Notamacropus eugenii: one gene and its partners. The protein of the gene in region 2 purifies or fractionates together with the protein of the main gene of each other region. This does not show direct contact. Links are inferred from orthologs where the notes say so. Each region holds a gene or a part of one and is shown on either strand. Other genes may lie near its edges. The genes, in order: TAF6L, KAT2B, MYOD1 and GLI1.

Evidence for each region.
Region 1: the proteins of KAT2B (region 2) and TAF6L purify together in Homo sapiens (affinity purification with mass spectrometry; 5 studies listed by BioGRID and IntAct, counting the BioPlex papers as one, with this or other methods). This does not show direct contact. The link is inferred for Notamacropus eugenii from reciprocal best matches to the Homo sapiens genes KAT2B and TAF6L.
Region 3: the proteins of KAT2B (region 2) and MYOD1 purify together in Homo sapiens (affinity purification with western blotting; 4 studies listed by BioGRID and IntAct, with this or other methods). This does not show direct contact. The link is inferred for Notamacropus eugenii from reciprocal best matches to the Homo sapiens genes KAT2B and MYOD1.
Region 4: the proteins of KAT2B (region 2) and GLI1 purify together in Homo sapiens (affinity purification with western blotting; 3 studies listed by BioGRID). This does not show direct contact. The link is inferred for Notamacropus eugenii from reciprocal best matches to the Homo sapiens genes KAT2B and GLI1.

What each region holds. Positions count from the first base shown.
Region 1 is NC_092873.1:15,843,229-15,851,148, reverse strand, and holds the start of TAF6L (TAF6-like RNA polymerase II p300/CBP-associated factor-associated factor 65 kDa subunit 6L), read right to left. Parts: upstream 3,003-7,920; 5' UTR 2,919-3,002; intron 1-2,918. UniProt on the Homo sapiens protein: Functions as a component of the PCAF complex. The PCAF complex is capable of efficiently acetylating histones in a nucleosomal context. The PCAF complex could be considered as the human version of the yeast SAGA complex.
Region 2 is NC_092874.1:34,104,277-34,111,444, forward strand, and holds the start of KAT2B (histone acetyltransferase KAT2B), read right to left. Parts: upstream 3,014-7,168; 5' UTR 2,999-3,013; coding exon 2,663-2,998; intron 1-2,662. UniProt on the Homo sapiens protein: Functions as a histone acetyltransferase (HAT) to promote transcriptional activation. Has significant histone acetyltransferase activity with core histones (H3 and H4), and also with nucleosome core particles.
Region 3 is NC_092877.1:41,184,746-41,191,682, reverse strand, and holds MYOD1 (myoblast determination protein 1), read right to left. Parts: upstream 3,012-6,937; 5' UTR 2,922-3,011; coding exon 2,301-2,921; intron 1,523-2,300; coding exon 1,444-1,522; intron 1,044-1,443; coding exon 778-1,043; 3' UTR 264-777; downstream 1-263. UniProt on the Homo sapiens protein: Acts as a transcriptional activator that promotes transcription of muscle-specific target genes and plays a role in muscle differentiation. Together with MYF5 and MYOG, co-occupies muscle-specific gene promoter core region during myogenesis.
Region 4 is NC_092874.1:232,839,147-232,847,068, forward strand, and holds the start of GLI1 (zinc finger protein GLI1), read left to right. Parts: upstream 1-4,908; 5' UTR 4,909-5,124; intron 5,125-6,860; exon of another isoform or gene 6,861-7,175; intron 7,176-7,922. Other genes in the region: INHBE (inhibin beta E chain), read left to right, coding at 1,246-1,543, 1,780-2,534. UniProt on the Homo sapiens protein: Acts as a transcriptional activator. Binds to the DNA consensus sequence 5'-GACCACCCA-3'. Regulates the transcription of specific genes during normal development.

The DNA of each region.
Region 1 (7,920 bases), on a different chromosome or scaffold from region 2:
TTATTTTAACCCTTAGAGAGGACAGTACCCTAGGAATTCAATACTTTTAGTTGACTGAATGATGCTGGCTTAATACAGAAAGCAGAGCAGCACAAGGGAAGAAACCCTGATTTAGGAGTCTGAGAGGCCTGGATGTGAATCCTGTTTCAGTCATTTCCTTCCTTGTCCTGCATGGGGAAGTCAGGCAGTCTATCCGTCTGGTAAGTACGTGACCTCTCTGACCCTCAGCTGGGGATCACAAGGTCTGGAGAAACTCCTCTAAGTCCGCATAGATGACCAGCAGCCCATCAAGCATGGAGGCCAACCGCCAATGGAGCAGAGTGTCTTAACTGGGTAATGCTGCAGTCTTAGATTTGTACTGATTGTGTAAAATAACATTTCAATCTGGTTCAGGTAGCACTCTGGGAGTCTTGTCAGACACCTCCAACACATAGCATTTGCAAATCTTGAGATGCCTAAATGTTGATTACCATGAGGACATCTTCTTGGAGAAAAGAGTCAGGGAGCCTCGGCTCTGAGCCCACCTCTGACAAATCCTGGCAGCGGACACTTAGAGTACTCTCTAAAAATGCAAAGGAGACAGCTCTGGTTCATCAAGGGTTCAAAGGTCCAGGCCCTGACCTGACCATTATTCCAGGATATAGTAGGTAGGTCAGAGTGGTCAGAGAGCCAGCCCTGGGGGCCAGGAGCACCTGGCTTCAGAGGCTGCCGGCAGAAGTGGCAACCACCCATGCCTCAGTTTCCCTTCCTTTCCACAGTCTGTCACCTTTCCTCCACCAAAGCTGCTCTCTCCAAGGGGTGATCTCATTGCCAATGACCTTTTCTCAGCCCTCATTCTTCTTGACTTCACTGTGGCCATGGACGACCCTCCTCCTAGACATGTCTTCTCTCTGGGTGTTCTGAAACCCCACCCCCACCCCCAGTCTCCTCCTCCCCTTCCGATTGTCCCTTCTTTGTCTCCTTTGCTGAATCCTCCTCCAGGCCACGATGCAATCTTCCAGTGTCTCAACCTGGATGTCCAGTAGACATCTTATCTTCCCTGCAAGCCTCCCTCCCACAACTCAGAGGTCATCTTGGACCCCACTCTCTCTCACCCACCATGCTCAACATGTCATCTTTCCAACATCTCTCAAATCTACTCCCTTCTCTCCCCTGACTGCCCCCACCCTGGTGTAGAACCTCATCACCTCACAGTGGCACTGCAATAGCAGCTGGGGTGGGAGCAGAGTGTGGTGGGGAGGGTCTGCCTGCCTCAAGCCTCTCCCCACTCCAGCCCATCTTCCATTCAGCCACCAAAGGGATTTTCCTAAGACCCAGGTCTGACCATGTTACGCCCTACTCAGTAAACCATGATAGCGCCCTATGGCCTCCAGGATCAAATACAAATGCTCAATTTGGCCTTCAAAGCCCTTCCTAACCTGCCCCCTCCTGCCCTTCTGGACTTATATACCTGATTTCCTCCACATTCTCCATGATCTGGGGAGCCCAGCCTCCACTCCATCTCTCAGCTCCTTTTCTCTCACTGCCCCCATGGCTCCAAGGCTTCTCCTCATCTGTTCTGACCACTGACTTCCTTTTGTGGGCTAATCATGTCTGACCCTTTGGGGTCTTTGTTTGCCACATTCTTCTCCAGCTCATTTTACAGGTGAGGAAACTGAGGTAAACAGGGTGAAGTGACTTATCCAGGGTCATACAGTTAGTACGTATCTGAGGCAGGAATTCCTGACTGCAGACCCTATCCACTGCGCCACTTGGGTGCCCACTGACCTCCCTGGCTTCCTCTGCCTTGAGGGCAGGGCCTGTCTCCAGCCTCTTTCTATATCCCCAGTGCTTATCACAGTCCCTGGTGCAGGGGAGGCGCTTAACACGCCTGGCTGCCCAGGTGAGTCAGGGCAAGTAGCTTAATTTCTCAGGCTCCCAAGGAGGTGTAGGCCTGCACTGGTGGAAAGGCTGCACTGGGGCATTAGTGACAATCTTCCCAGGAAAAGAAGTGGGGACAAATCTTCCCTGGACAAGCAGTTCCTGGGACACCACCGCCCCCCACGCAGGCCACGAGCAGCCCCTTCCCTTTGGGCGGGCTCATATGGGGAGGGGGGAGGAAGGCTGGAAGGGTCCTGACCCCCACAATGACCCTCTAGGATGTTCCCTAGGCCAGGGGATGATGCCCAGCTACCCACACCCATGAGAGGCTGAGCACCTAGGAACAATTAACTAAGTAGAAATGGTTTCTGCACCCTTGCCCACGCCTGGTCTGATCTTTTCTGTACAGTCTCTCTTGGTCCCGAGTGGGATCGGAGCCAAGGCTGGGACCCCGCCCCCCACAATCCTCCTGGCCAAACTCCGGGTCAGCTTGGGGTCCACTGGGACACCCCATTCATTCTCAGGCAGGCTGCAAGTCAGCCGTGCCTAGGCCACTGGAGGGAGGGCCTGGGTTCGAATCCACCCGTGGACCCCAGACGGCAGCTCCTTGGAGCCTCCCCCAATGATCCCCATTTCACAAGCGAGGAAACTGAGGCAGGGACGGATGAAGCGATCGGCCAGGATGGCCTGGCTGCCAGGGTCTGAGGCTCGAACTCAGTTCTTCCTGACTCCCGGCCGAGCGCTCTGTGCATCGTGACGCCCCCTGGCGGCCACGGGTAAGTCCTTTCAACTGCCTGGGCCTCAGTTTCCCCATCTGTAAAATAAGAGGCGTGGAGATGATGACCTCGGAGGTCCCGCCCAATTCTCAAGCTGAGCCCACGAAAGGCGCCGGCGGCCGAGCCGAAACCTCTGACCCCAGGGTCAGGAGGCGGAGCCAGACGAGGTCAATACTCCCAAGGCCTGTGGTCCCCAGCGGAGGTGAGGGAGGTGGTGAGACCCCGGCCCGACCAAGTTCGGAGGCCCCGCGCTGAGCGCGGCGCGGCCCCGGCGAGACTTACCCCAGAGCGGCAGCGGCGGCTCCGGCTCCGGCTCCCTCGCCTAGTCTCAATTCCCTCGCACTGAGGCCGGCCCCGCCCTCCCCCGCTCCCGGCCAATCCGCGGGCGGCGCTCCCAAGCCCCGCCTCAGGACATGTTCACAGGGAAAGAGCCATGTTGCCGGGAAGTGTCACGTGACGCCAGCCCCTTAAAGGGCCCTCTGCGGTTTTCTTCCGGACTTTCTTCCCGGAGGGGCCAAATCCTCCCGGCCGCCGTTGGCCTCGCTAGGGTTAATCCAGATCCACCCTAAATTCAGCCCGCCCATGTGCTCACTTTTTAGAAGGCTGTTTTTACCCTCCTGCAGCCCTTTCCCCGCCCCGGGACCTCGCCTTTCTAGTTCAGTGCAATTCGGTGATTGTTACTGCTGTGTGTCTGGCAGGGTGCCCTCAAAGAGCTCACGTCCCGGGGTGCGGGGGGGGGGGGGGGCGGTCGCAGGGACGGACAGCGTGCAAACGAAGGTGTAGGGATCTACACAGAAGGCTTCCTGGAGGAGGAGGGATTTTAGTTGGGACTTAAGGAAGCCTGGGAGGTCAGAGCAGAGGGAGGAGAGTGGTCCAGGCCTGGGGGGAGGGGCGGAGCACAGAGGGGGAGCGTCTCTTGCTGCAGAGAGAAAGCAGACCGGAAAAGGAGGAGGGGGCTCGGCCGGAGGGGTTTTGAAGGCCAAGCAGCATTTTGTATTTCATGCTGGAGGCCGTAGGGAGGCGCTGGAGTTTATTGAAGAGGGGGTGATGTGGTCAGAGCTACCCGTTAGGGAGATCCCATTGGTGGCTGAATGGAGGATAGGCTGGAGGGGGGACAGACTTGAGAAAGGGGGCATCTCCCCCCAAGTGACTATTGGAGTAGCCTAGGTGTGAAGGGATGAGGATCTGTGATAGGGTGGGGCAGGGTCAGAGGAGAGGAGGGGGCCTATAAGAAAGATTCTTCAGAGGTGAAATCTACAAGAGATGTTGCAAAGGTGAAATTGACAGGCCTTGGCTTCAGTTGGGCTACAGGGGTGTCTAGGTTGGGAAGAGAGAGTCCAGGATGACCCCTAAGTTGTGAGCCTTGAGGAACTGGGAGGGGAGTATTGCTCTCTACAGTAATGGAGGGGAGGAGGAGTGTTTAGGGGAAAAGATGATGAGTTTGATTTTGGACATGTTGAGTTTAAGGTGTGTACTGGACATCCAGATTGAAATGGAGTCCAGCCTCAGTTCCTACCCTTAATATTTATTTAAAATCTTGCATGGGTCTTCATTAAATGAAAACGAACTGTACTATAAGGAGGGCAGGAGGAACTGCCAGTGAGGATATCTACACATCCCATCCTTATATCCCTCCCCCCCTTACAGTTCTCTCCTCTTCCTAAAAGGGGTATCTGTCGTATTGCCTCAAAGAAGGACTTTGATAAGGGCTTTTTTTTTTTCATTTTTTAGAACAACGTCTGTGGCATAGGTATGAACTACTTGTAAATCCTATCCGAACTAATAATTTTTTTCCTTTGGCAGTTCATTATGACTTAGTTTCTCTCTGAGAGTGTATCATTTTACACCTTTTTTTCTTTTGTTGTTGGTTTCTGTTTTTTACATTTTCAGAGACTCTTCAACCTCCCTAGAAGGTTCTGTTTTGCTGGTATAAAATTTTATGTATTTCTGGAAAGTCTCTCTGGTAGCCTTTGAAGAGCATTTTCAGTGGAATCGTGGAGCATGAATCCTGACTGCAAGAGGCTGAGGATTTTTTCTAGAAATTTAGCTGTGAATGAAAAAAGACAAATTGGACGATACCTTGGGGAATGGCCTCGACCTGTGAAGGCATCTTAAGGATGTAGGCATGGCTGTAGGCTGCAGGGAAGGAGGCAATACATAAGGAGAGATGAAATATGAAGAAGGATCTGAGAGACCAGGGCCTGGAGATGATGGGAAGGGGTGGTGTCCTTAGACACTATCACAAGAGTGAGGGAAAACATAGAAGGCCTTTTCGGTGTGGAATAGGAAAAAGGTCTTTGCAGTCACTTTCTAGTTTCTCAGGCAAGCAAGAGGCAAAGAAGCTTGCCTTGAGAGGGAGGGGACAGAAGGCTGTATTTTTGTTGATTTGAGAAGAGAATGTTTGGACCAGTTACTGTAGAGAGTGTGATAAGAGTCCAATAGAAAAGAATTAAAAATCTGTCCAGTGGAGGCCCTAGTTACCTGAGTCCCTCAGCAGTGTTTAGTAGCTTACAAGTGGCACAAGGCAACCTGAGGAATGGTAGGTAAGCCACGGGCTAAGTTTAGGAAGAAATGAGTATTACCAGGATAAAGGATAAAGGAAAGGGTTCATAGGTAGAAGGTGGTGTTGTGGAAAGGACACAGTAGAGTCTCAGATTTGTAAATTAAAATGAAGTCTTAAGTGCTGGAGATACAAAGAAAGGCAAAGACAGTCCCTGTCCTCAGAGAGTTTAAAATCTAATGGAGGAGACAACATATAAACAATATTGACAAACAAGCTTTATATAGGTTAAATAGGAAATATCCAACAGATGGAAGACTAGAATTCAGAGGGATTGAAAATGGAGTTTCTGGATGAGGAATAACTAGGAGGTTGGTTGTTGTTGTGTTTGCTTTCCGTTCTCAAAGAGGACCATGACATCAAGTTGATGATATGACTTGCAGTTGGCTTTGATTTAAGTGAGGGAGGACTGTGCAAGGTCACCAACCTGACTTTCTTCTCTTGAGCCATTTAGGTCCAGTGGCCTGATTGGAGATGGACCAGGATGCAATGTGAGACCTTGGCCCTTTCAGGCTAAGGTCTTACCACGTTCTCACTTTGAGTAGATACACCCATTCAATGAATAGGTTTCTTTAAGTAGTTACTAAAGAGATGGCCTCTTTAATAAAAAAAAAAAATCAAACTGGGAGGGAAGGACCCTCAGGGTTCCTGCATAAAAGAGAAACAGTAATTACATTCACCCTGTGCTAGGTGGGTTTGGGGACTTGTCCAGCCTGTGAGTTCCAGAGTGAATTGGGTTTAAGGTTTGATCTTTGAGCAAGAAATGTAGCCAGTAAACCCAAAGGAAAAAAAGGTAGCTTTTGGGCATGGAAGGAGGTTGGTGTCACTGGATCAAAGAATACTATAAGGTATAAGAAGACTGGAAAGGTTTGGGGGTCGGGGACCTCAGTTTGAAAGATGTTTGAATATTACAATATATATCATTATATCTTTTGTTTTTTATATCACCTACATTTTCCACTGTTCCTCTCCTCACACCACTCAAAGAACCATGTTAGCAAGTATCCTTTTTAAAAATTTGACTTTGAATTTGAACCCCAATAAAGTACATTTTCATACATACAGCAGAATACAAAAAGAGGCTTCAGTGTGAACCTGTGAATCTATTTCATAATGCTGGCTATGGAAGAAGCATATCATCAGTTCTACACATTCATTTTGAAAACGACCTGTTGACTTGTGTTCCCTTCTGAACATCCTTGAGTTTTCTGTTGTGAATTTTTTAAAAAAGTTACAATGCTCCTCTCCTTTTAGCATCTCCATAGTTGGGTACCCTTCCCCCCATTATACCACCTAGTTAAGAGCCAAGAGAAAGAGGAAGAAAAACAAACCCTTTTTAAACAAAGAACCGCCAAGTCAAATATCCTCCCTTAACATATGCTTCATTCTATGTCTGTGTCCCTCCCCTCTTCGTCAGGAGAGGGTATCCTATTTATCACAAGGCCTCCGGAGACGTAACATTGCACTGAGCAAAGTCTTCGGGGTTCAGGTGGTTTTCTTTAGTGTGGTTGTCATTGTATACATTGTTCTGGCAGTTCCAAAAATCCAGAATTTTCTGTCATTTCTTTTAGCCCAATAGATTCCATTCCATTCATGTTTCAGTTGGTCCAGACAACCCCTTGTTGTCTCAGAGATGATCTAAGGAATCCCCTTGAGGGCCAGTTAGTTTTTCTTCCCTTTTCAGTCCCATCTCCAGGATCAGGACATTTTTTTGCCTGTGACTCTTCTTTTCCCAGTATCCCATCTCCTCTCTGATGCCTCCCACTTGTTTCTCAGAGGATCTTGGTGTCTGTACCAAACTCTTACCAGTATCCCTGATGCCTACTCACTCTATCCCTGTTGATTCTTGGTTTCACTTCCCCCAATTATAGCAATATATCCTTTCTTTTTTCTCTGAGTGAATCCCTCCTTTGACACTCCCTTTTCTTTCCCCTCTTTAGACCCTTAGAACAAATCCATTCCAGTTCCAAGATTTCTTGTTGTTCTTACTGAATTCCCTTAAGGCCCCTTGAAAGACATTAAGGCTCTATTGAGGTCAATAGCCCCAAAGAGATCTAAGAAAGAAGAAAAGGACCCACGGATACAAATATATTTATAGCAGCTCTTTCTGTGGTGGCAAGGAATTGGAAGCTGAGAGATGCCCATTCATTGGGTGTGGGTAAACAAAATATGGCCTACAAATGATGCCATCACACCTGAGAAGTGATGAAGAGGTGAGAAGCTTGGGAAGATCCACATGAATTCGTATGATGTGGATGATGCACAGGGAACAGACAAAGAATGACTTCAACAAGTTTAAGGAAGATCTTGACCAGTGAGCTGCAGATGAGTGGAGGAGCAGCTGGTCTTGGAAAGGTGGCCAGGAAGGCTGTGGAAGCCAGCTCGCATGAAGAACTGGGAGAGGGAAGGATTAAGATGAAGGGAAGCATCATGGATGGCTGGACAGAGGTCAAGGGGAAGAAGGAGGATAAGGTGGGGGGAGGTAGTTTGGGCTTTGGAAGATGATATGTTCAGAATCGCTGGGACATGAGAGGTGTGACCAGGTGCAAGCATGTTTGTCATCCACTCCTGTTCCCTCAAAAGACAGGCAAAGCAGATGGGAGGGTTGCCCTTTGCCAGGCACCTCCTCCACATCCTGGTGCTGGTATGAGTGCTGCTTTGGGACAGATGGAAGACACCTGGCAGGGCCCTTCCACAGGGACACACAGCAGCCAGCAAGGAATG
Region 2 (7,168 bases):
TGCTCTGCCCATTGGAGTTCCTTATAGATGTTATTTTTTTTTTTAAGGAAAGGGGAAAAAGTTAGGGGTGGGATTTGAGTATATCCAGAAATGACTATTCTAAAAACTAGAGGCACCAAACTTTAAATGTGTTTTGCCTGGTTCACTCTCAAAAAATTTAAGTCAAAATTTCCCAACTACTTCCCTCTAAGGTATCACTTCTCAAGTTGTCCCAAATTTGGTACACTATCACTGACCTAGATCTCTTCTACTAGTAGCTTGGGGTAGAGAGTTGACCAATTCACAAAGCTGGAGAAGAACTAGGGTGAAGGTCTGGAGATCTTTGCCAAGACACCATTCAAAAGAATTCTACCGGTACCCTGCAAAGCAGGTTAGTTTCTTTTTTCTAGGAGAGATATGGTAGGCTACCCTTCTTCTGAGGGGAGGAAAAAGCAGACTACAGGCTAAAATCAGTGCCTTGTTTTGCCTTCATTTGAGCCTAAAGAGGAAAATAAAAGTATCTCTCTTTCAGGAGTCTTTGATGGGTCTCCTCCCCTGCTCCTCCAATTCCCCATTCTTGATTGCTTTTCTTTCCAGACTGCCTAAGGGGCTGGTATTTTAATGGGTTCTAAGCTGTCCCTTCTGTCCTTTGTAAGCAGTGGCACTTAGAGGAGAATTAGAATCTTTTTAAGAAGTACAATAAATGACCCTTTTCTATATGCTGGACAAATCAAGGGCATTCGTGAGAATGCTGAATTATAAGAATGAGAGAAGCCCTTATAAATTCTCTTGGTTCTTTTGTGCATCTCCCTTACAGTCTAACTTGACATGGCTGGCATTTCTATCCTCACTGGCAATGTTTGAGACTGGAGGCTTCTGGAAGACAGGCTTTACGAACTGCTGAGTTGTTTGTGTTTGCTTTTTATTGCTAGCACCAAAACAGTCCCTGGAACACAGTAAGTGGGTGCTCCTAACAGTTTGAACTAAGATTCAAGCTTCAACTGGATTAAGATTCCATTTCAGTTAAGATTGTACCTAAAACTCTCTTAAGTACAATCTGAATTGAATGATGTATTCACACAGCTCTCAATCCCTCCAATGGTTTTCAACCTATCTTGACTGCCCACTACACTAGTTTTCTTCCCTGAAAAAAGTCCTAGGCAGAAAAAGAGCCAGAGAGGAAGCAGCTCTGCTCTGGAAGCCCCCTAATCAAGGTGGATTATTATTATTATTATTATTATTATTATTATTATTATTATTATTATTATTATTTTTGCAGCTACAGATCCCAGGTTCTTAAATTCCTGAGTTTTTAGTGGGGTAAGGGCCTTAGATCATCTAGTCCAACTCGCATATTTTTCATATTTGTTAATAAGGGCCACGGAGATTCCATGACTATCCAGTGAAGCTGCACAAAGTAGGCAATTGCTTGTTGATTAATAATAACTAGCAAATTCAAGACCTGAACCCAGGTCTTTCAAAACCTGGCACACACAGTGGAATTTAAAGTTTCAGACTGACTTTCAGCGTGAGGAGAAGTGATCAAAGTCTTCAAAACAGGAGACTGAAATAACGAACTGGAAAGAGAAGACAGAGAGTGATGCCCAGCACAGTTTGGCAGGAGGGCAGGGTAAACTGGGGAGAGAAGATTGGTCCAAGACAGCTGAACTCGGACATCGGAGGACTTTAAACTCCCAGAATCCCAACTCTTGACTATGTTTACCATGCAGTTGGGGAAGAGAGACGGCTAGCCTCTCAAATTAAGGTTGTTCTGTGAATACTTAAAATATGCCTGGGTTATCATTAAGATTAACAACTGTGTTCTTGGGAGGACCCAGCCCTACCATCCCACCACCAGCCCGGGCCATTCTAGGAAACTGGCCTCTGGCTCCCAAGTACCAGGCATGGGAGTGATTAACCAGAACACCCTCCCCCCACCCCCACCTGCAGCCACAGGCCCGCCTCCTTCAGCTGTCACCCTGTCAAAACAAAGACGACGGTGCCAAGGGCCACGGGCCTCCAGCAGCTCTGGGACTACGATCCCTACCCCGGGCCACATCTGGATGGAGGGGGCAGGGCAGGTCCCGGACCATCCACAGGGGCGTGGTGTGGCGCCCTCGAGAAAGGGGGCAAACACAGGAGGAGGGAAGCGACTTGTTCCAGCCAAGCCAAGCTTATCAACACGCCCAAGGGTCTACAAAGCAAACCCACCCTAATGCAAAGCTAAGGTGCGCTGGCATCCCGCTACCCAGCCCCCGAGCCCCCCAGGCTGGCAGCGGCTCCCCGCCCGGAGGAGCAGGGCAGGAGCGCACGGCGCGGCCGCTCGGCCGGGCCACTGTCTACACCGCCCACCCCTGGGGCGGCCAGTCGTCATTCCCCCCCCCCCCCCCAGCAAACATCGCCGCGGGCTTCGGCTTCTGCCCCCCCCCCCCGCGCCGTGCACGCGCGCACACACACACACACACACACACACACACACACACACACACACACACACACCGCACACACCGCACACACCACACACACGCACGCACCACGCAGGGCTCGGCTCCGACCCACCCGGAGCGGTCCTGCCGCGGGGCAGCGGGGGGAGGGGAGGGCCCGGGTGCGGGCCCCGCCATCGCCCGGGGGGGGGGCAGGGCGGGGCAGGGCAGCTCCCGCCCGGGGCGGACGCGGACGCTACCTTGCAGGCGGAGTACACGCCGAGTTTCTCCAGTTTCTTGGCCCGGGGAGCGGAGCGGAGCTGCGCCTTCTTCACCGCGATCCGGGCCGTGGAGGCGCCGCTGCCCGCCCCCGGGCTCTCGGCGGCGGCCGGCCCGGAGGAGGCGGCGGGGCCGGGGCCGGGGCCGGGGGCGGCCGCGGCGGGAGCGGCGGCGGCCGGGGAGCCCTGCGGGGGCGGCGGCGGAGGGGGCAGGGGCGCCGGCGGCGGCGGCTGGGGGGGAGGGGGCGGCGGCGGCTGCTGCCCCCCGGCCCCGCCGCCCCCGCCCCCGGCCGGCGCGGCCCCGCCGGCCTCGGACATGCCACCGCCGCGGAGCCCGGCAGGAGCAGGAGGCGGAGAGTGCTGGTGGCCGCCGCCGCCGCCAGGGTCTCCCTGGGCGCCTGTGGGCTCGGGGAGGGCGAGAGGGACCCTCCCCCTCGGGGCCTGGCCTCCCGCTCCGCTCCCTCCCCCTCGGAGTTCCCCTCCCCCTCTCCCTCCCGCCCTCCCTCCTCCCCCGCGCCCTGCGCTGCGCGGCTCCGCTGCGCTCCCCTTTGGCTCCGGGCCCGGCCGCCGCCGCCGCCGCCGCTGCCCCGGGAGGGAGGGCGCTAGCGGCCCCGCGGCCGCCTTCCCCGGGGTCTCCTCCCCGGGGCCCTACTGGGCTCCGCGCCAGCGCCCCGCAGCCGCCGCCGCTGCCGGGGACATGCTCGGCCCCGGGCCCCGGAGCGTGCGCGCGGGGGTCAGCCCGAGGCTCCGGCCGCGGCTCCTCTTCCGCTCCCCGCGGAGACGACCCGGGTCTCCCTGGGTCCCCGAGCGCCCGCGATGGGGGCGGGGCTGGGCGGGGAGCGGAAGGGTGGCGGGGCGAGGCAGGAGCCGGAGCTGGCATCCCCGGGCACCTGCCGGAGGCTTCGCCCCGCGGGCCGAGCTGGGTGCCCGGCGGCGCCTCTCCCCGCACACACGCACCCCGAGCGGGCCGGGCATCTTGCGCCGGGTCGGGGGCACCGCACAGCCGGGTGGCTCCTCCGGGCGCCAGCTTGCCCGCCCCGCGCTTCTTGTAGGAAGGCTACGAAAACTTCCTCGGCTGTTCCTAAACTGTGCCAACAGAAGGAAAAGTGCACTTTACACGAAAAAAGTTGGTCTTTTTGTCCCAGTGCCTGTCTGAAGTGGCCTTGACAGCGCCACATAGAACGCAGAGCTAAAGACTTAGTGGAACGTAGATTAAAAAATAACCTTTCAGAGCCTGTCCGTCAGGAGGGACGTGGGCGACCCTCCCGACTAAAGAGCCCAGAGAGGGCAAACCACCCGCCCAAGGACACACAGCAAAGTCAGGCGCAGAGCCACGACTACAACTTCTCTGTGTCCGTTTTTATCCGGTGACCTTTTCGCTAAACCCTCGCTGTCTGATCTTCAAGGGCTCACGATTCATTTGGGATGGAGACAGTTTTTGAAACGAGTTTTAATGGCCCTTCATTAATTAGATGGAACTGGGACATTTTATTGACTTTGCAGGTGAGCCGGTTTCTTTCCGACTTGCCTTTCCAATTTACTTTTAAAACTACTCATTATTTCTCTGGATCTTTTACAAGCACATAGTGTAGGACAGGGAATTTATATGAATATTTTAGCAGATTCTTTGCATTCCTTGAGAATTATAGCTAGTATTAATGTGGTGATTTAAGGTTTGTAGTGCGCTTTGCAAGTATTTCCATCATATCCTCTCAACAACCCTGGGAGGTGGGTGCTATTATTGTTTCCATTTTATAGATGAGGAGACTAGTGAGTCTTAACTCTGGAAAGACCACCAACTTTCCCATTTCAGCTTACTATCCTTTTCCATCCCTAACTCTTATTGTTCTTTTTTAAAGAGCTTTAAAAAAAAAAAGATTGTTTTAATAGAAAAGGAAATACCTTCCACCCCAACTTTTAAAAGGTAGTATAAAATTGCTGCCAATTAGAATGCATAATATAAGATGTTATGAAAAGTTCAAGGTTCTATTTCCTGGCTGATGTACAACACTTTACTTTTCAATGTTAACCAACTTACTGCGGTACTGAAGGCTATTGGCGTGTTCTTGTCATTCTCTGCACTGGCCATATGAAATTCTTCAGCTCACACATGGAGTAAGACTTCCTCCTATCAGGGATATGGCCAGACCACTCCAAAATCACTACAGTATTGACTCACCCTACACCTGACCAAAGTCAGTATGCATGTTTGAGGCTAGAAGCCACAGAGAAAGTTTGAGAGGCAGCCTGCTTCCAAGATAGAGAGTAGCTAAAGCTCAACAAGCCCATTTCAATCCACCCTGAAAGTCATTATGTTTGGATGGTGAATGATTTCTGACAGCTGAAAATGGATTTTCATTTTGACATATCTCGCAGCCTCAGAATGACACGTGATCGGAGGGCAAATGCCTGCAATCCAAGGCATGTAGGAAACGTATTAGGGGCTGAAGATACAGGGTGCAGCTTCTCTCCCTCATCATCATCAGTCCATAAGTAGCATTTAGGGAGTTGCCAGGTGATAAAAGCCTCTAGCCTCTATATTGAGGGCATTGGTTGAGAGCTGGAAGTTGTCATTGTCCAACCCTGCCCCATCCCCATTTTCTGGATGCTGATACTAAGGCCCAGAAATGCTAAGACACTTGCCCAAGGTCACAGGTAATGAGTTGTAGTCAGAGCTGAGGCCAGGTCCAGTGACTTCAAAGCCCAGGTTTTTTCCCCATTTGATTCAATAAACATGTTTTAAGCACGCGCTACTTATGCATTGTGCTAAGGTGTTGATCATAAATATGGAGGCTATTTGGGGCTTTCCAAAGAGCTTACAATGGGAAGAGGACAAAGTAGCCTGGTCTGGGATCAGAAAAGACCTCAAGCTTTATCTGAGTGGGAGGCCTAGCACTTGAGCTAGGCTGGGAGTGGTATTAATTCCTACTGGCAGAGGTGAAGAGGCAGTGCATTCCGGGTTTTGGGAATAGCCTGTTCAAAAGCAGGAGATAGAATATTCTGTGTGAGAAAATAGGATGGGACTATAGAGTTTTTGAGGGCAAGTGATGGGAAATCAGTGCAGAAAGATAGGCTAGAAACGGCTTACAAAAGGCTTTTCATTCCAAGCAAAAGAATTTGTATCTTCTTATATAAGGAACACGTGGAGGCTGATAGGTGCTCAATTGATAGAGCGCTGGGCCTGGAGTTAGAAACACGTGAATTCAAATCCAGCCTCGGGCGATAACTAGCTATGTGACCCTGGGCAAGTCATTTGACCTCTGTTTACCTTAATCAACTAGAAAAGAAAATAAGAAACCACTCCAATATCCCTGCCAAGAAAAGCCCAAGGACAGTGTGGTCCACAGGGTCACGAAGAATCAGAAATAACTAAACAACAACATAGGAGCACAGAGCTAGAGCTGGGGACCCTTAAAGGTCATTCCATCCAACCCTCCAGTTTATAGATGAGAAAACTGAGAGGTTAAGTGATTTGCCCAAGGTCACAAAAATAGGAAAATTCAGAGGCACGATTTGAGCTCCAGACCTGCTTCTTATCTCTGATTGTAAGAAACTGATGTTTCCTATTTATCAGTGTTGCTGAAAGAAAGAGAACATGAGTAGGAATGAGGTGTGAGCCCTTAGGTAGGAGAGGATCAGCTTCTGATGGGCCAGAGCTGCCAAACAAATGCCAACCCAGGGAGAGAAGCATTTCTCCATCTTTATAATGGGACCATAGCAAAAAGAGCTGGGGAAATCTTACAAAATTCTCTGGTCCAACCTTTTTGTTACATATGAAGACTATTGATGCTTTGAGAAGTTGAGCCTCCCCCAAGTTCACACATTTAGGAAACAGCGGTCAGAATTCCAAGTGAATCCAGTTCAAAAATTATTCTTTGACATGAAGTATAGATAATATGAATATACCCAGAGAGCAATAGATAAGTACCCCTGCCACAGCACAGCAGAGAATTAGCCTTTGAGTCAGAAAGACAAGTTCAAATTCTTCCTGTGACAGATATTAGCTGTGTGGTCATGAACAAGTCACCAACTTGTCAATGCTCCAGCATGGTATGGCGATGTCTTTCAATTCATGCGTAAATTCGATTTAAGTGAGGCAGAGTTGCACAAATTCTCAGGCCTCCCTCTCTCCTCCAGTCATTATCTTTGACTATAAATTATTGATCATTTATCACTTCTCTGAGGTAGAGGGAGTTTTCACACTGGAAGTACCACACAATAATTAAATCCCCTCCCAATAAAGGCTGTTTCCATATGAAAAGAACCTTAGCCCTGGATATCTGGATCCTAGGAGAATGCAATATCATTTGCATACCTGGTACAATGGCCTCTACTTCTTTCTTCTTTCTTTCTTTCAATCATTGAATCACATACAGATAGCCTCAATATGGAAACTGGCAACATTAACACTGAATGGGATAAAAAACTGTTTGTTTTTCCAAATTCAATTCAAAAAGCATTTATTATATGTGATGTCGGGCTCTCGGA
Region 3 (6,937 bases), on a different chromosome or scaffold from region 2:
GAATTCCCTTCCTCTTGTTGAAGGTTGGGGAAGTAGATAGAGAGCTGAACTTGGAGTCAGGACTTAAGTCTGTTCAAATTCTGTTTTTCTCCTTCCTTGACTGTGTGAACATGGGCAAGTCACTTCACTTAGAGAGCTCAATCTTTTCATCTGTAAAATGTAGGTACAATATAGTACCTACCTCACAGACCTGGCATGAAGTAATGCTCAGAAAACCTTAGAGCGTTTTATGTTAGCTATCATTAAAAGGCAGAGCCGGCAGGTATAAATTATCATCTTTATTCAGCACACCTGAGCAGAGACAACACCGCCCTAGTGTATAAATAGTCAATGACTGCACCACAAACCACACCTGATAAATATGTCGCTGGGTTGTGTGTGTGTGTGTGTGTGTGTGTGTGTATGCATGTGTTCGCAAAGCAAGCCCTTATTTACAGAATAGATTACAAAAGTATTACAAAATGTGGTCCTGAACTGGGGAGCATGGAAGAAGTGTGGAGGGGGCGCAGCCCCTCAAGAACAAGCACAGCCGTTCCTTCCTGAGGGGGGTGGGGAAGGGGACCAGGGACCTGGGACCAGGAACCTGTCCCCCTAAGCCCCGGCCAGGCACTCGGAAACCAATAAATTAATGTTTTAGGGAAGGGAGGAAGAGACAGAAGCACATTCCAAGGAATCCTCAGAAGCCTTAGACTTGAATAAGATGGGCCCCCTCCCAAAGTCTAGTCTGACCCCCGCTGGAGCCACAGGAAGCGGGGGAGAAGGAGGTTTGGTCCCACCTCAGAGGACCTGGTAGATAGGGTTAGGATTGGGTACAGGACTAGGCCCAGAGGTGCTGTCAGCAGAAAGCTGGGTACTCCCACTGGGGACAGGGGAGGGAATGTGGGCACCACTGTCACTCAGAGTGGTGGCCTCCTGGGGGGAGCAGGGTGTGCCCTCTCCCAAAGGCAGCACAGGGCATGTAGAACCCTCAGTGGAGATGCGCTGTACAATGCTGGAGAGGCAGTCCAGGCTGGACACAACCAGTCCTTTCCCAGTCTTGGTGTCTAAAAAAAAATGACAGAAATTAGGGATGAGTGATAAATTCTGAAGTCCAAGGATGGGATCCTGGGGAGCTCAGATATCTTTTTCCTATATACAAACCACTGCTTCTCTGTACCATGCTACCAAGATGGCAGAGGCTCAGGCATTCCCAGTGACTTGCTATTGGATCAGTTCCTTAAACTCCCTAGACTTTGTGGTTTTTTTCCTCTCTAAAATGAGGAAATTGAACCAGAACCCAATAAAAGGGTGGGTTAATCCCACCAAAAGTACACTGAATTATGGTCCTCCCCTCTCTGTTGGCAGGAGTTCAGACATAGGTACACCTGGATGGACAGTGAATTTCATATATTGTGTGTAGAGACTCAGGGGCTTGGGCTGGGGCAGAATGCCCTTGATACCCACCACTTGGAGAATCACTGTAGTAGCTGCTGTCATAGCCACCTCTATGCCTGGTGCTGCAAAGGGGGCCATTATAATCCATCTGGAGACAAGAGAGTAGATCCTGAGTCAGGTCCTGCTCCTCCTCCCAGCCCCTGCCCTCATCACATCCAGTTCACCCCAAGGCTTCAAAGAAACAGATATCCCCTCTTTCCTTCCTTCCTAAGACCCCAGGAACTGCCCCAAATTTCCTGCTGCAGAGGGTCTTGTGTGTTTCCTAGAGATGAGAGCTCAGGTAATTCATAGGAGCATTGATGTATGCCTAGCAGGCACGTTGGAGACCACCTAGCCCTACCCCTTCATTACACAGATGAGGAAAGTGATAAGTGACTTGTCCAAGGTCACACAGCTAAGTTAAGCAATAGAATAAGGATCTGAACCTAGCTCCATTCTCTCTGTAAGCCAGACTCCTTCCTCCCTGCCTCTGTCAACTGGCGTAGTCTAGAAATATCCCACCCCCAGCTCCAACACAAAATTTCTGTGTGATTTGGGCAAATTCTTATTTCTTAAATAAGATAGCTGAACTACATAATTTCTAACAACTTTTCAACCAAAAAGTTTCTTTTGTCCATAAAGGCAAGTTTTCTCCCCTACCCGGCCAGCCCATCCCCATCCAATGGTTCCTCTCCTGTGGCAACCACAGAAAGATTGCCCCAGACACCTGGGTACCAATTCATAGCTGGGGATGGGAGTTTATCCGCCTCCTTTTAGACCTAATGCTGTAATTTTCGTTCCACAATCCTTCCCATCATTCTACTGTCCCCTTCCTCTCCCTCCAGCCCTGCCCACTGGCCATACTTGTTCTGGCCCCACCAGCTCACCATGCCGTCGGAGCAGTTGGAACGAGGGCTGGATGCATCCGAATCTCCGCTGTAATGCTCAACCACGCGGGCTTGGGCAGTGGCCCCCTGAGGGTAGAAGGCAGCGGTGCTGCCAGGGGCTGCCCCGTCCTGGTCTCTAAGCAGTGCCTGAAGGCCCTCTATGTACCGGATGGCGTTCCGCAGGATCTCCACCTTGGGCAGTCGCTGGTTGGGATTACTCGACGTGCACCGCTTCAGGGTCTCAAAGGCTTCATTCACCTTGCTCAGACGGCGCCGCTCCCGCATCGTGGCCGCCTTGCGCCGGTCAGCATTGGTCGTCTTGCGTTTGCACGCCTTACAAGCCCACAGAAGGCAGCGGCCAGCCTGGTGGTGACCGCTGGGAGCCCGCACGTGCTCATCCTCCCGGGAGCCCGGGACCGCTGCGGGATGGTGGGAGTGCTCGTCAGGCTTTAGGAGCGCGCCCACGTGCACCAGGCGTGGGTCCAGGTCCTCGAAGAAGCGCAGGTCGGGGGAGTCAAAGCAGGGGTCATCGTAAAAGTCGTCAGCCGTGGTAAAGGAGCAGAGGGAGCTGTCCGGCCCTGCTAAATCCATATCCCGCAGGGGCGGGGGCAGCAACTCCATGGTCCTGCAAGGGATTCGGGGAAAGCTGCCTTCTGTGAACTGCTTTGTGTCTTCCTACCCCGTTTTCCAGCCCGACGGCAATTAGAACCACAGCCCCCTAAAGTTTCGAGACCCTGCGAAGCTTCTTTCAGTCGAAACCAGAGGGAAAGGGATCCGCACCCTAGCCTAAGGACGTGCCCTGAAAAGAAGCTGCGAAATAGCCCCCCACCCACCCCACCCTGCCCTACCTCCCTTCCACACTATCGGGAAAGAGCTGGCTCCCTCCGATGCACATGTGGGGCTCCCCCTACCCCTTGCTCCAGCCGCTGGCGCTCGAGGCTATTTATTCAGAGCCCAGGACCCAGAGCTGGGCTCTGGGAGGGGGCAGCCCTGGAAGGGGGGTAGCGGGGGACTCCCTGAGCCAATGAAAGCGGTCTGGGATGGGGGGCGGAGACCGATGGGTCCGAGGATTTGGGAAAGAAGAGACCCAAAGGGGAGGAGAGAGGAGTGTCCCGGAGCCTAGGCTGAAAGACTTCCCCTCCCCTCCGTCTCTCCCTCCCCTACCACACACTCTACCACACACTGCCCAAGAGTCAGCCCAGTTTGGCTCGGCGTCCCAGCCTCAGCTCCCTGCGCTGAGTACCCCCTCCTCCCCAACCCCCAGCGCGCTGCGCTGGGCCATGCCTTTAACTTTTTTCAGTTGCTGTGGGTCCTGGTACCACCTCCCCCAGGGGGTTCTGATTCCCTCGGGTCTCCAAGGGTCGGCATGGGAGACGTGGGTTTCAGTTTTGCTTATTAGCTGGGACCTTTGGGCATGTCCCTTCTTCTCTGGGCCTCAGGTGACCCATTTGTAAAATCGGTGCGGAGGGTGTGTAGTAATAAAGGTCCCTACGGTGCCTTTTTAGAGCGGCAGCTGGGCGTAGCTTTGCTGGGTTCACATCCCTTCTCTGCCCCGTGTCCCCTAAGCACATTTGCTAACCTTTTCGGTCCCTGTCACCTGCCTGAGCTGCCGATCAATCTGTCTATCTTTACTGGTAGCGAGCAGTTTCCTCACCAGAACGTCCTTATTACACTAACGATAAAACAGTTTCTGGAACAAGAAGGAAAAAGTTCTTTGCAGCTGTAAATCTGAGGCAGGGGCGGGGATAGAAAAGGGACGTGGGTGGGCAGGGGAGAGTTGCTTGGAGAATATTTCTGCAGCTTCCCTGGAGGTCGCCTGCATGTAGGGGGAGATAGGACTGATCTCCTGATGAAGTTACACCTTTTACGTTACCCCCGTTACAGAGGAGCAAAGAGACCGTTGCCCTAGGGAGGCAGGAAAAGGTGGCAATGGAGCCTGAGAGAGGACTTCACTCTCATTTACTTCTGGCCCTCAGACCCTGGTTCTCTGAAATAAGGGGACAGTGGGCAAAGGGCAGACAAGTCCCTCTTCTGTGCCAGGCACTGTGTTAATCGATGGGAATACAAAGGTCAGACCTCAAAGCAGCAGGTGAGTCAAGCCCCTATCCTTACCTCTTGTAGTTGGTGGGACCTGGGAAAGATTGGCATACCTCAAGTCCAAAGATGTAGGCAGATGGCCTAGGAGTGTCCTTATGTCTCTATTAAGAAAGACTGGATCCTCAGTCTCTGTACCCATCTCGGAGGCCTCTACCTCATTAAGGTAGGGAGTGCTGGGGGCAGTGCTAAACTTGGAATCAAGAAATGTAAGTTCAAATGACAGCCTTGTTACATACAGGTATATGGATTTGGACAAGTTGACTCCTCTCTGGGCCTCAGTTTGTTTTTTTGTAATATAAAAGAATTAAATTAGAATCAAAGGTTCTATAACTTGTTATAAAATATCCCAATATTTTAAAATATATTGGTATTAAATTGGTTTCCTTTTTAATCCTATGAATTCTGTTTAATGTATTTAAAAACATTATTTCCAAAAGGGGTCCAAGAATGCCAGAGGGGTCCATGATTTTTTTAAAGCTAAGAATCCCTGGACTAGATGATCTCTAATATTTCCTCTATATCCTCTGAAGCTGGGAAAGGTGGGAAACTGCATTGTTTTCCCTAGTAATTTCCCAGATTATTGTCAGACCAAAGTCATTGGTTTGTTCCTGAACCCAGCACTCCATCCCCAAAATAAATGACAAAAGAGACTCAGTGGAGGAAGGCACAACATTTGGGGGAAAGGAGGAAAATTGGGATCTTCCTCTGCCAGCCTCAAACTTTTAGAATAGGAGCACATTTAGGGTTAGGGTTAGAACCTATTCTAACTTGATTCTAAAGAGCCAACTCAAAACTGCCAGTGGTTTTAGGCAAGCCAATCTCCTTCTGGGTTTCTATTTCCTCATCTGTGAAGTTAAGAGGTTGGTAAATGGATTCATTTCAGTGCTAAGATAATAATGTGCCATTATTATCCCCATTTTACATATGAGAAAACCAAGGCTGAGAGAACTTGACTTGCTCAGAGTCACAGAACTAATGTGTAAGGCAAGATTTGAATTCAGATTTGCCTGACACCAAGTCCAACCTTTTGTCTAGTGTTCCCTCTTGCTACCTGTAATCCCAGTCTCTGTAACCTCTTCTCATCTCCTCTGATGCCCCCCACTCTGCCTTGCTTAATGTGGGGACCTCAGATCCCCAGAAGTAAAGTAGGGGAATTTCCTAATGTCCTTCTTGTTTTTACTGCTTGTTGTCCTGGGTCTGGGAAAGATACAAAGAGGAAGTCACTCTCTTCTTCCCTCTCTGCAATGTCTGAAACCTCCACCAAAGTCCTCTGAAGTTCCACTGAGGCCTGGCTTCTCTAAGACTGTGTCTCTGGAGAACAAACTCCAGCAAGTCCTACAGAATGGGAAAGGGTTCAAGTAAAGGTCTAATGACAAACTGTGTCTGCTATATAGAGACCAGCCTAGGTAAGTTTGGAAAGACTCATCACCAGAAAGTTGGCCACCAGGGGAGGAATTATTTTGCAGCCACAGAAACTAACAAAGGTGTAGAAGAACTTCTATTTATATAGGTTGGGAGATTCTCTAGACTACTGAAATTAGGAGTCCTGGAAGTATTAACATTATGTCTGGAAAACCCTGATTACACTCACCTAGGCTTAACCCTAGGACTGCCTCTGCAATGAAAACCAGGGAGCCCTGAAGAGAGAAGGAAAAGACCCTAAGACAGAGCTAAGGTGGGAGACGCAGAGTTCTAACCAGGTTGGGGCAGACAGGGCTGTGCCTTAGGATGCTAAAATTTTTAAGGCACTTCCAGCTCTTTTACTCTTTCAGAAGATAGTAACAACTGAGTTTGGCACTTAGTTATAAAGGATAATTAGTTATGACAGAAGCTAATAGGTGGCGTGATTTCTTTTCCTGGTTGCCTCATCCAGGTGAACTCTCTTACCAACACTCCCTTCCTTTTCCCCCAATGGTGTCCCCTCCATCAGTCTTGAGGTGTTCCAGAGTTTCCTCCTCCCCACATGCTAAATTGACTTTGTCTTAAAAATGCATTGATGTCAGTTATACTTCTGTCAAAGCTATACCTCCAAATGCTCTCTTGGTTTCCCCCAGTTCTGCTGCTGCAGACCCAGAAATGCTTGTCCACATGACAAGATAGAGCTGAAACTCTCCCATACATGGACTTCAGGAAACATTCAAGAATACTCGCCAGCCTTATTGCTCAATGCCTTCCTATGTTTCCACAACATTACCAAGATGGTAGTGGGGCTCTCCAGCCAGAGAAGCCAGCCAAACTGCCTTCTTGGGCACCCAAGTCTCCAGAGCCACTCCTGCTCACAGTAACCCCTAGGTCTCTGTGGAAAGCAATCTCCTCTCATAAAAAGTGGGGAGAAATGGTGAGAGTTGACCGAAGAAGTCGCTTTGATGAAAACACTAGACTCCTAGAGGTATTTCATAATATACAGAATTTGGGAGACATGGACATGAGGGTAGCCTCCCTCTACTTAACTCTCCCTCACAATGCATGGGCTGATTTTTGGGGGGGCAAGTCCTATCTCTTTGACTGATAGTTGATCACAGGTCAAGAACTCCATGTCC
Region 4 (7,922 bases), about 200 Mb from region 2:
TTAAGTTGTTGGGGGGGGTCATAGTAGAGTGAGGGGAGATGGGCAGATGCTTATTCCTCTCCTACTAAGCCCATGCTGTCTAAAACTAGGAGGAAAATGATTGGCAGAGCTGGGCTCGGACCCCAGTTATTGCACTCCAAAGTTCCAGCCTCCCTTTCTCATACCCCAACCTAAAAACTGAGAGGTGTTAGCAAAGAGAGGCTGCTTTAGTACACTAACAAATCCAGGCTCTTCCCATCACCTTAAAAGAGGTTAGATCAAGTTGCAGTGCCCAGTTCAAGGCTGGGCACCAGGCCCTCCGAAGTGCCATGCCCTTCTGGCAGTCGTGATGGACTCTGCCCGAACTCCACAATTGCATCACCCTCCCCTGCCCCTACCTCTGGGTTTCCCCATTCATCCCACTAACACACCTCACCACCAGTTCTCTCCCTCCCCCACAATGTATTCACATCCAATTGGACTCTGAGCAGCCAGCACACATAGGGGACAAGGGGTGACTTCTAGGTACCCCGTGGCACCTGCCACCTAGGCCTGGCCTTGAGAGCTCTGTTGTTGCTGAACTTCCAGCCTTCAGGTTCAATGTTTGGGAGATGGAATCCTGGATTCCCTTTTTGGACAGGCCCCTCAAAGTAGGAGACACTGAAGTCTCAATAGTCTACTCTCTGTTAAGTTAAACTGCTGTAGAGGAAACTGGGAAAGCTCAAAGTGGAAGACATTGGAGACGACTGTATATAGGGGCCTTCGCTCCTTTACCTGGCTCACATGGCTCACATCACCCTCCCCCTTCCTCTCCCCTGGACCCTGGGATCGGAGTCTGTGAAATCATCCTCTTTCTTGCATCATTCCTGTCCACGTCTCCCCCCACCCCACCCCCACATACCCCTTCCCCAAGCCTGTCACCGCAGCCAGATTGGTGAAACATGAGCTCTGGAAAGGGTGGGGGATCCTCCACTCCCCCCCCACTAGGGACCTGATTGACAGAAGAACTGGCCAATCCTGGTGCTCAGAAGGTGGGTCTGCCCATTGACCACTAGGTGGGAGAGCCCCAGGCTACCAGCTCAAAAGAGGCCCTGGGTCAGTAAGCTGAGTGGATCGACCAGGCAGACAACTCTGAATACCCCACTTTTCATCAGTCAGATTTTTGTTTTGGGGTTTTTTTTTGTTTGTTTCCAGGGTACAAGAATAGGAGACATCTGACTCTCCTTTCTGCAGGGGGTAGGTTTCCCTAGGATAGACACAGGGAGAATGGGGTACCCAGATGCCTGGCTCCTACTGGTACTGCTATGGGCACTAGCAGGGGCTCAGAGATCAGGACCTCGGTGCCCATCATGTGGGTTACCCACACTAAAACCACAGGAAGAGAGGGCTCTAGTTCTGGAGCTGGCCAAGCAACAGATCTTAGAGGGGCTACAACTGACCAGCCGTCCAAGCATACCCCATCCTCCCCACCCTGCAGTCCTGGCCAGAGCCTTAAGGAGACTACAGTCTAAGAAGATGGCTCAGATGAACCAGCTGGAGACCATCAGTTTTGCAGCAGAAACAGGTGGGTGAAAGAGAGGAAAAGCAAATCAGGGAAAGACCCAAAGAGAGACAGAGACAAGAAGAATACAGCCAAAAGAGGGATGTGGTGGGAGAGGTGGGGTTGGAAGCTGATGTTCTGAGGACTTTATCTCTTAAGTTAGTATAGAAAAAAAGGAATCTGTCAGGATTTGACAAGAACTTCCACCCAAAGACCTAGGCCTCTCACATTATTCATGAACCACCACTATTTTTCCATAGGCTCTTCCTCCACTCCAGCCTGTGGATCTATCCTCAACTTCAACCTCTCCACTCCTTTGCACCTACGTCCATACCACATCCGTCTTTGGCTGCATCTGCATTCCACCCTAGCTGGTACCCCCTCCATACAAATCTTCCAGTGGGGTTTGGAGAAAGGGGTCCAGGGAAGTCAAACCCTGCTGGCTGAGCATGGAAAGACCACTCCAGGATGGAATGCCCTTACCCTGCCTTCTTGGGCACTGGAGGGCACTGGCTCTGGTGTTCTGAAATTCAAGCTGGTCTGCAGGCCTCATGTAGGCAATACCACAGCTGCCAGACACTTACTTCTGGATACAGCTGGACACCATCAACCCTTCCTGGTGATTAGGACCCAAGCCAGAGCACCTGGGGGGGACCGGGCCAAGAGGAGGGCCCCCACATGTGAACCTGGGAGCCTTCTATGCTGCAAGCGGGACCACTATGTAGACTTCCAGGAATTGGGCTGGAAAGATTGGATCTTGAAGCCTGAGGGGTACCAGCTAAATTATTGTAGTGGACAGTGCCCGCCTCACCTGGCTGGCAGCCCAGGCATTACTGCTTCTTTCCATTCTGCTGTCTTCAACCTTCTCAAAGCAAATAGTCCCTGGCCATCTGGCCCTTCTTGCTGTGTTCCCACAGCCCGTCGGCCACTCTCCCTCCTCTATCTTGACCAAAGTGGTAATGTAGTGAAGACCGATGTACCTGATATGGTAGTGGAAGCCTGTGGCTGCAGCTAGCAAGGAGGTTCAAAGGATTCAGAGCTAGAGAGAGTGTGAATAGTGTTGGTCCACTGAAGAAAGGGGTCAGCAGGTCAATGGCTGAGGCGGTTGAATTCCTGACATCCCCTCCCCAGGTGACCTGGCAGTGCGGCCCCATGGGCAAATCCTGATGAGTCCAACCTGGGACTTTAGAGTCCAGTTTCAGACTGGTTGGAGAATGGGGAGATGGGTAGGGCATTCCTCTGCTTGGTTCTTATTAGAAGAGGATTCCTACTCTGAACACTCCATAGAAGAGATGGTTAAGGGGTGGGGAGGGAGGGGTCAGAAAAGTTGCTCAGTGCCTTCTAAGAGAGATAGAACTTCCTGGCAAATCGATGAGAGGGTGGGGTAAATAGGGCATGGGAGAGTGTGGTATGGTGGAGGTACATGCTAGAAAAGGGGTTGGTGCTTTGTGGGAACTGCTAAGAGGGAGATGGGCCCAGGGAGAATATGGGATGAACTTAGATAGGAGCTTGGAGAAGCTGATGAGCCCCATAAAGGAACACCCTCTAGTTTTGCCAGAGGTGAGGTCCTGCTGGGGAGATGAACACATATTTATATTTTCCTAATAAAAATGAAAAGAAAAAAGTCACAGGTGTGTGTCTTGATACAGGGTTTAGGGGAAAACTCGAGGACTGGGATGTGGAGGGGGAGTGTGTTCTAATGGTAAAATGCTCCACAGGGCAAGGACATGTGGATGTGTCTGGAAAAGAACCACGTGCGGGTTTCTTTGTACCAAGTGACTATCAGTTGGACCAGGCTGATCTATGTCCCTGACCCTCTGGAAGTGGCTGGACATTTGGTCGATGCCAAGTGGGGGAGGGAGGTGGAAGATCTTACCCCTGGCTCCTCATCTCCTCTTGTTCCCTAGTAATTTAACATCTCATGTTAACATAACTCATGTTAACAACTCAGTGTTAACACAACATGCCCCCAACTTCTCACTAGCTCTACCTTTGTTCTTATGTTATTCCCCCAAACAAACCGTTGATCCACTGACCCTTCCTCTCCACTCCCCCAGAAGTACTTTGGAGGATGTTCCAAAATACAAGGAAGGGAGGAGAATGGTGACTTGAGGAGGATAAGAGAACTGGGCAAAATAATTAGAAAGGGGCATTCTCCAGTTTCCTGGTCATGACCTTGTTTCCCTCCCCTTAAAACCCCCCCTCACAAATCACTCTTCTCCCCTCCCCCATTACACATCAGAGACTGAAATAGCTGACCTTTCCCCTGCATCCTGTCACCATGGCATCAGGACATTGAGGGACAGGGGACAAGGGCAGTCTTCCTTCCAATACACAGAACCCTTTACTTATTTCTGACTGCTTTTCCCGAGTCCATGTATCCATTTATGTCCCCATCTCTCACTTTTTCTTGGTATACTCATACACCTTTGGCTCCCACAATACTGGCGTTGGGGAGTACAGAGAACTTCTTTCACTGTCCCTCCCTCCCAAGGTCCCCACTACCACCATAATCGTACCATCTCTGCCTTTAGACAGGTTCAATCTAAGAGAAGGTGATGTTCATCAGGGGGGCCAGCAGAGGGAGCAAGGAGCAGCGAAGAATGGGGAGGGGAAAGGTACAACCGCAGGATGGCTGACATCTCCAAAACCTATGGACACAGGAGAAGCAGGGCGGGAGGGTTGAAGAACAGCCGTGCTAGGGTTAAATATACCCAAACCGGGCCTTCCCAGCCCCGACCACGGACCCCCAAAGCTTCCAGCTTCCCTCTGTCTCTCTCGTTTACTGCTGCCTTTCAGTCTCCCATCCCCACGGTCCCACAGCCTCTGTCTGCTTTTCCTCTTCCATGGTTTTTAACACACTCAAGTCCTTGTCTTGCATTTTTGCTACCCCAGTCCTCGGGGTCCTTTACCCCATCCAGCTCCTGCATGGCCAGGTGAGGGTGGTAGTCACACCAGGGCAGAGAACTGAGATCTAGTTTTGCTTAAGAGCCCCTCCTCCCCACATTCCCACAAGTTTTCTCCAATTGGGACTGTATAGTCTTTCTTCCTCTAACTCTCAACTTGGTTTTTCTGTCTCCGGCCCATCTCTGTCACTGACAGACGATCCCGGAGATCCAGGCCGGGATTTTCCGCTAGCCCAGGACAGCGTGCTCAGTCCCAGAGCCTTAGTTGAGGGTTAGGAGATAGGGTACCTCTTAAAGAGGGGAGGATTCCAGGAGTCCAGGGGTGCAAGTTTGACATCCCCCTCTTTCCTTCCTGTAGCCCCCAAGCCTACTTCACCACAACTGCACGAGGGAGGGTAATGAGAAGGGAGGGGAGGAGTGAGTGGGACAGCGCGCCAACAGCGCTAGAAGGAAAAAAAGTTTTTGCAAAAAAGAAAAAAAGTTTGCGAGTCTTGCGGGTGGTCCAGGCTCCCGGCCCGGCAGGCGGGGCGGGGGGGCCGGGTTGGGGGGGCGGGGGCGGCACTGAGGCTGCGCCGCTGTGGCCCTGCCCGTCCCCCCTCCACCCCCCCAGCTCCCCACTGCACACCCCCCAGCCCCGACTCCAGCCCTGGACTGCGCATCCCGCGTCCCGAGCCCCGATGGAGGTGAGAAGGCCGCCAGGTCAGGGACCACCTGGGAGCCATGAGGGAGGGGATTAAGGAGAGGGGCACTGGTTTAAGAGGGATTCCCCGACACTCTCACCTCAAACCACCCACGCCGTGATAGAAATCTCGGGAACAGGGCAAAGTGTGGGGGGAGCTGTCTGGTGTGGAGAGATGAGAAAGTTTGTGGCTCTTCTGTCTTCCTCCGCTTCTGTCCCTTTCTGTTTCAGTCATCACTCTGTCTCTTTGTCTCTTGTCCGCATATATTAGAAATAATTCATATCATTCATTTGATAGGGATGGAGGGATCTTAGGTGGAAGGAATAGAGGTGGAAAGGAGTCTCAGGTGTCTCGGTACCCTGAATCCGACTGAATCTGAGGGCAGTGTCTTGGTTCCTCGTAACCCCAGAACTGCAGGGGTTGGGGATATGTGAAAAGAGGAAGAGTTTGTCTGAGTTTGTACCCCAGTCTGTTTATGAGACATGAATTTTTCTGTTTGGTTTGGGGTGGAGGTAATGTCTCCTGGATTGGGCAGCTAGAACAGTGGGGTTGTCCCTTTAGCTCCTAATGTCTGGTTTAGGCCCCAGACCTCTGGTGACCTTGATCCCTCGTTATTCCCAAAGGAACTCCTGGGTTTCAAAGTGTGGAGGTGGGGAGGGGTCGGGGAAGGGGAGAGAGGATCTCCGGGGAAACTCTCCCTCTACCCTCTGACCTCAGGACCACCAGGGCGCTGAAGATAAACCGGGGAGACCCCTGTGGGGCTGGACTTGGACCTATTCCTCATCCTTTCCGTCCAGTTCCCCGCCCAAAGAGGGCCTGGGGAATATAAAGCCCCCTCCTTCTACCCAGACCACCCTGCCTGCCCTGCAGCCTCTTTCAGGTCCCATGACCCCGAAACAATCTTTCAGCACGCAGCTGGCTCCTTGGTCCGGATTAGGGAAGGGGGGACAGAGGGCCCCGTAGGGGGCTGGAAGGAAGCGAAACTAGGGTTTTGGGGGGCGGATGGACTGGGGTCTCTACAGTGGAATGTGGAGCATAGGCCCCAGGGTCAGTACTCTTTAGCTGAAGAACGGGCCCAGGGGCAATTTTCCTGTGTGGGTGGGGAGAGGCGGCGGGTGGTTTTCTCCAAGAGGTGGGACTCGGCGCCCCCCACCAACGCTACCTTACGGTCCGGCATCCCCGCCAGGATGCCAAGCCCCGCCCCTTACGTCACTTGGGGGTTCCCGGGGGGGGAGGGCTTAACCCTTAGGACACCAACCCGGGATACCGAGGAGCTTGGGATTCCCTGCTCCCCCATATTTGATCCCACTCCTACAGTTATTCCTCCCATCTTCCTTTTCCTAGAATTTTAGGAGTTTCCTGTTCCCTCTCCTTTCTGAGTGAGGTCCCCATATCACCCCTTCCAGCTGACGAGATTTTCCACTTGCCACCGGACCCCCGGCTTCTATATTTAGACACCCCCACTGCAACCAGGGGCTCGCTGCCTGGTTTCTGGCGGAGGAGCTGCGAGGAGGGTGGAATGCGCCCCGCCCCTCAACGCCCTCCCTTTCCTCCTCCCCAACCCCCTCCCAGCCTGCTTGGCTGGGATCTCGGGGGGGGGGGGGGGGGGCAGGAGGGAGCGGAGCCGTCTGCAGCCAGAGTCGGGCGGCCTCAACTTGGGTGGGCCGAGGAGGGACTGAAGCTCTGGGAAGGCGGGTCCGGAGGAGGGGGCGGTGCTTACTCCCAAGGGTTGAGGGAAGGGGGTGGGAAATTAGGGACATCAAGGGAGTGGGGATCCGAAGCTCAGGAACCAATAAGTGCCCCGACCCTTCTTCGTCCAGGCAAACTTTGCTGAAGTTAAAAAAGTTGGGGAACTCTTCCCTACACCCATGTGAAGAGGGATACCCCAAGGGTGAAGGGAGAGGTACTCTCCATCTCCACATGGCTTCCAGTCCCAGGCAGAGGGCACCGAAAGAGGAATGACAACAGAATGGACGGGATACAGTTTTGGCAGGGAGGGCTGCTGTCTACAGTCTGGAGGGATGGGGTGCCGGGGGAGGGAGGAGCTGTGAAACTGCTTCCTTCAACCGGGTGAGTCACAGGGGGAGGAGTCAGGAAAAGAGCCCCCTACCCCACCCCATCCAGCTGCCAGCCAGCTGTGCCCACCACCCACTTCGACTGAATGCCAGGGTCAAGTGGGGGGTCTTGTAAGCAGAATTGGGGCTGGCAAGGGAGGGGTCATGGTCCGTAATGGATGGAGGGGGTCCAGGGCTGAGTTATGGGGTTCTTGCTCCCCGCCTCATCTTCCCCCTCCCTCAGCCTAAATCCTAACATCCCAGGATCACCCACCGCGACGCCTCTAGCTCCCCTTCCCACCCTACCACACCCCACCCTCATTCCCCGGGAGTCTGAGAAACGTGGAGTGGATTTCAAAGTGAACCGAAGCTGTGAGTGGAGCAGGCGAGGAAAATGGGTTCTCAATATATCTCTCTGTCTCTTGTCTCTTTCTCCCTCTCCCCGTCTCTGTCTCTCTCTTTCTCCCTCTCTTTTGCTCCCTCCCTCGCCTCTGTCTCTCCTTCTCCTTGTCCTTCTCTTTTATCTCTTTATCTCTCTTATCCCTTCTCCTCTCTTCTCTCAAACCCACAAGATGAAGGTTTGGAGGATGGGGGTGTAAAAGGCATCTTCTCCATTTCTCCCAGGCAGGCAGCACACTACCTAAGCAAAAACGCCTGTGGCTCCTCCCCTTTTTCCTTCACCGCTGCCTCCCGGCTGTGTCTGACTCCCCTGGGACTGTCTTCTCTGTCCCACTCCCTCCCACCACCCCAGAGGCGGTAGGGA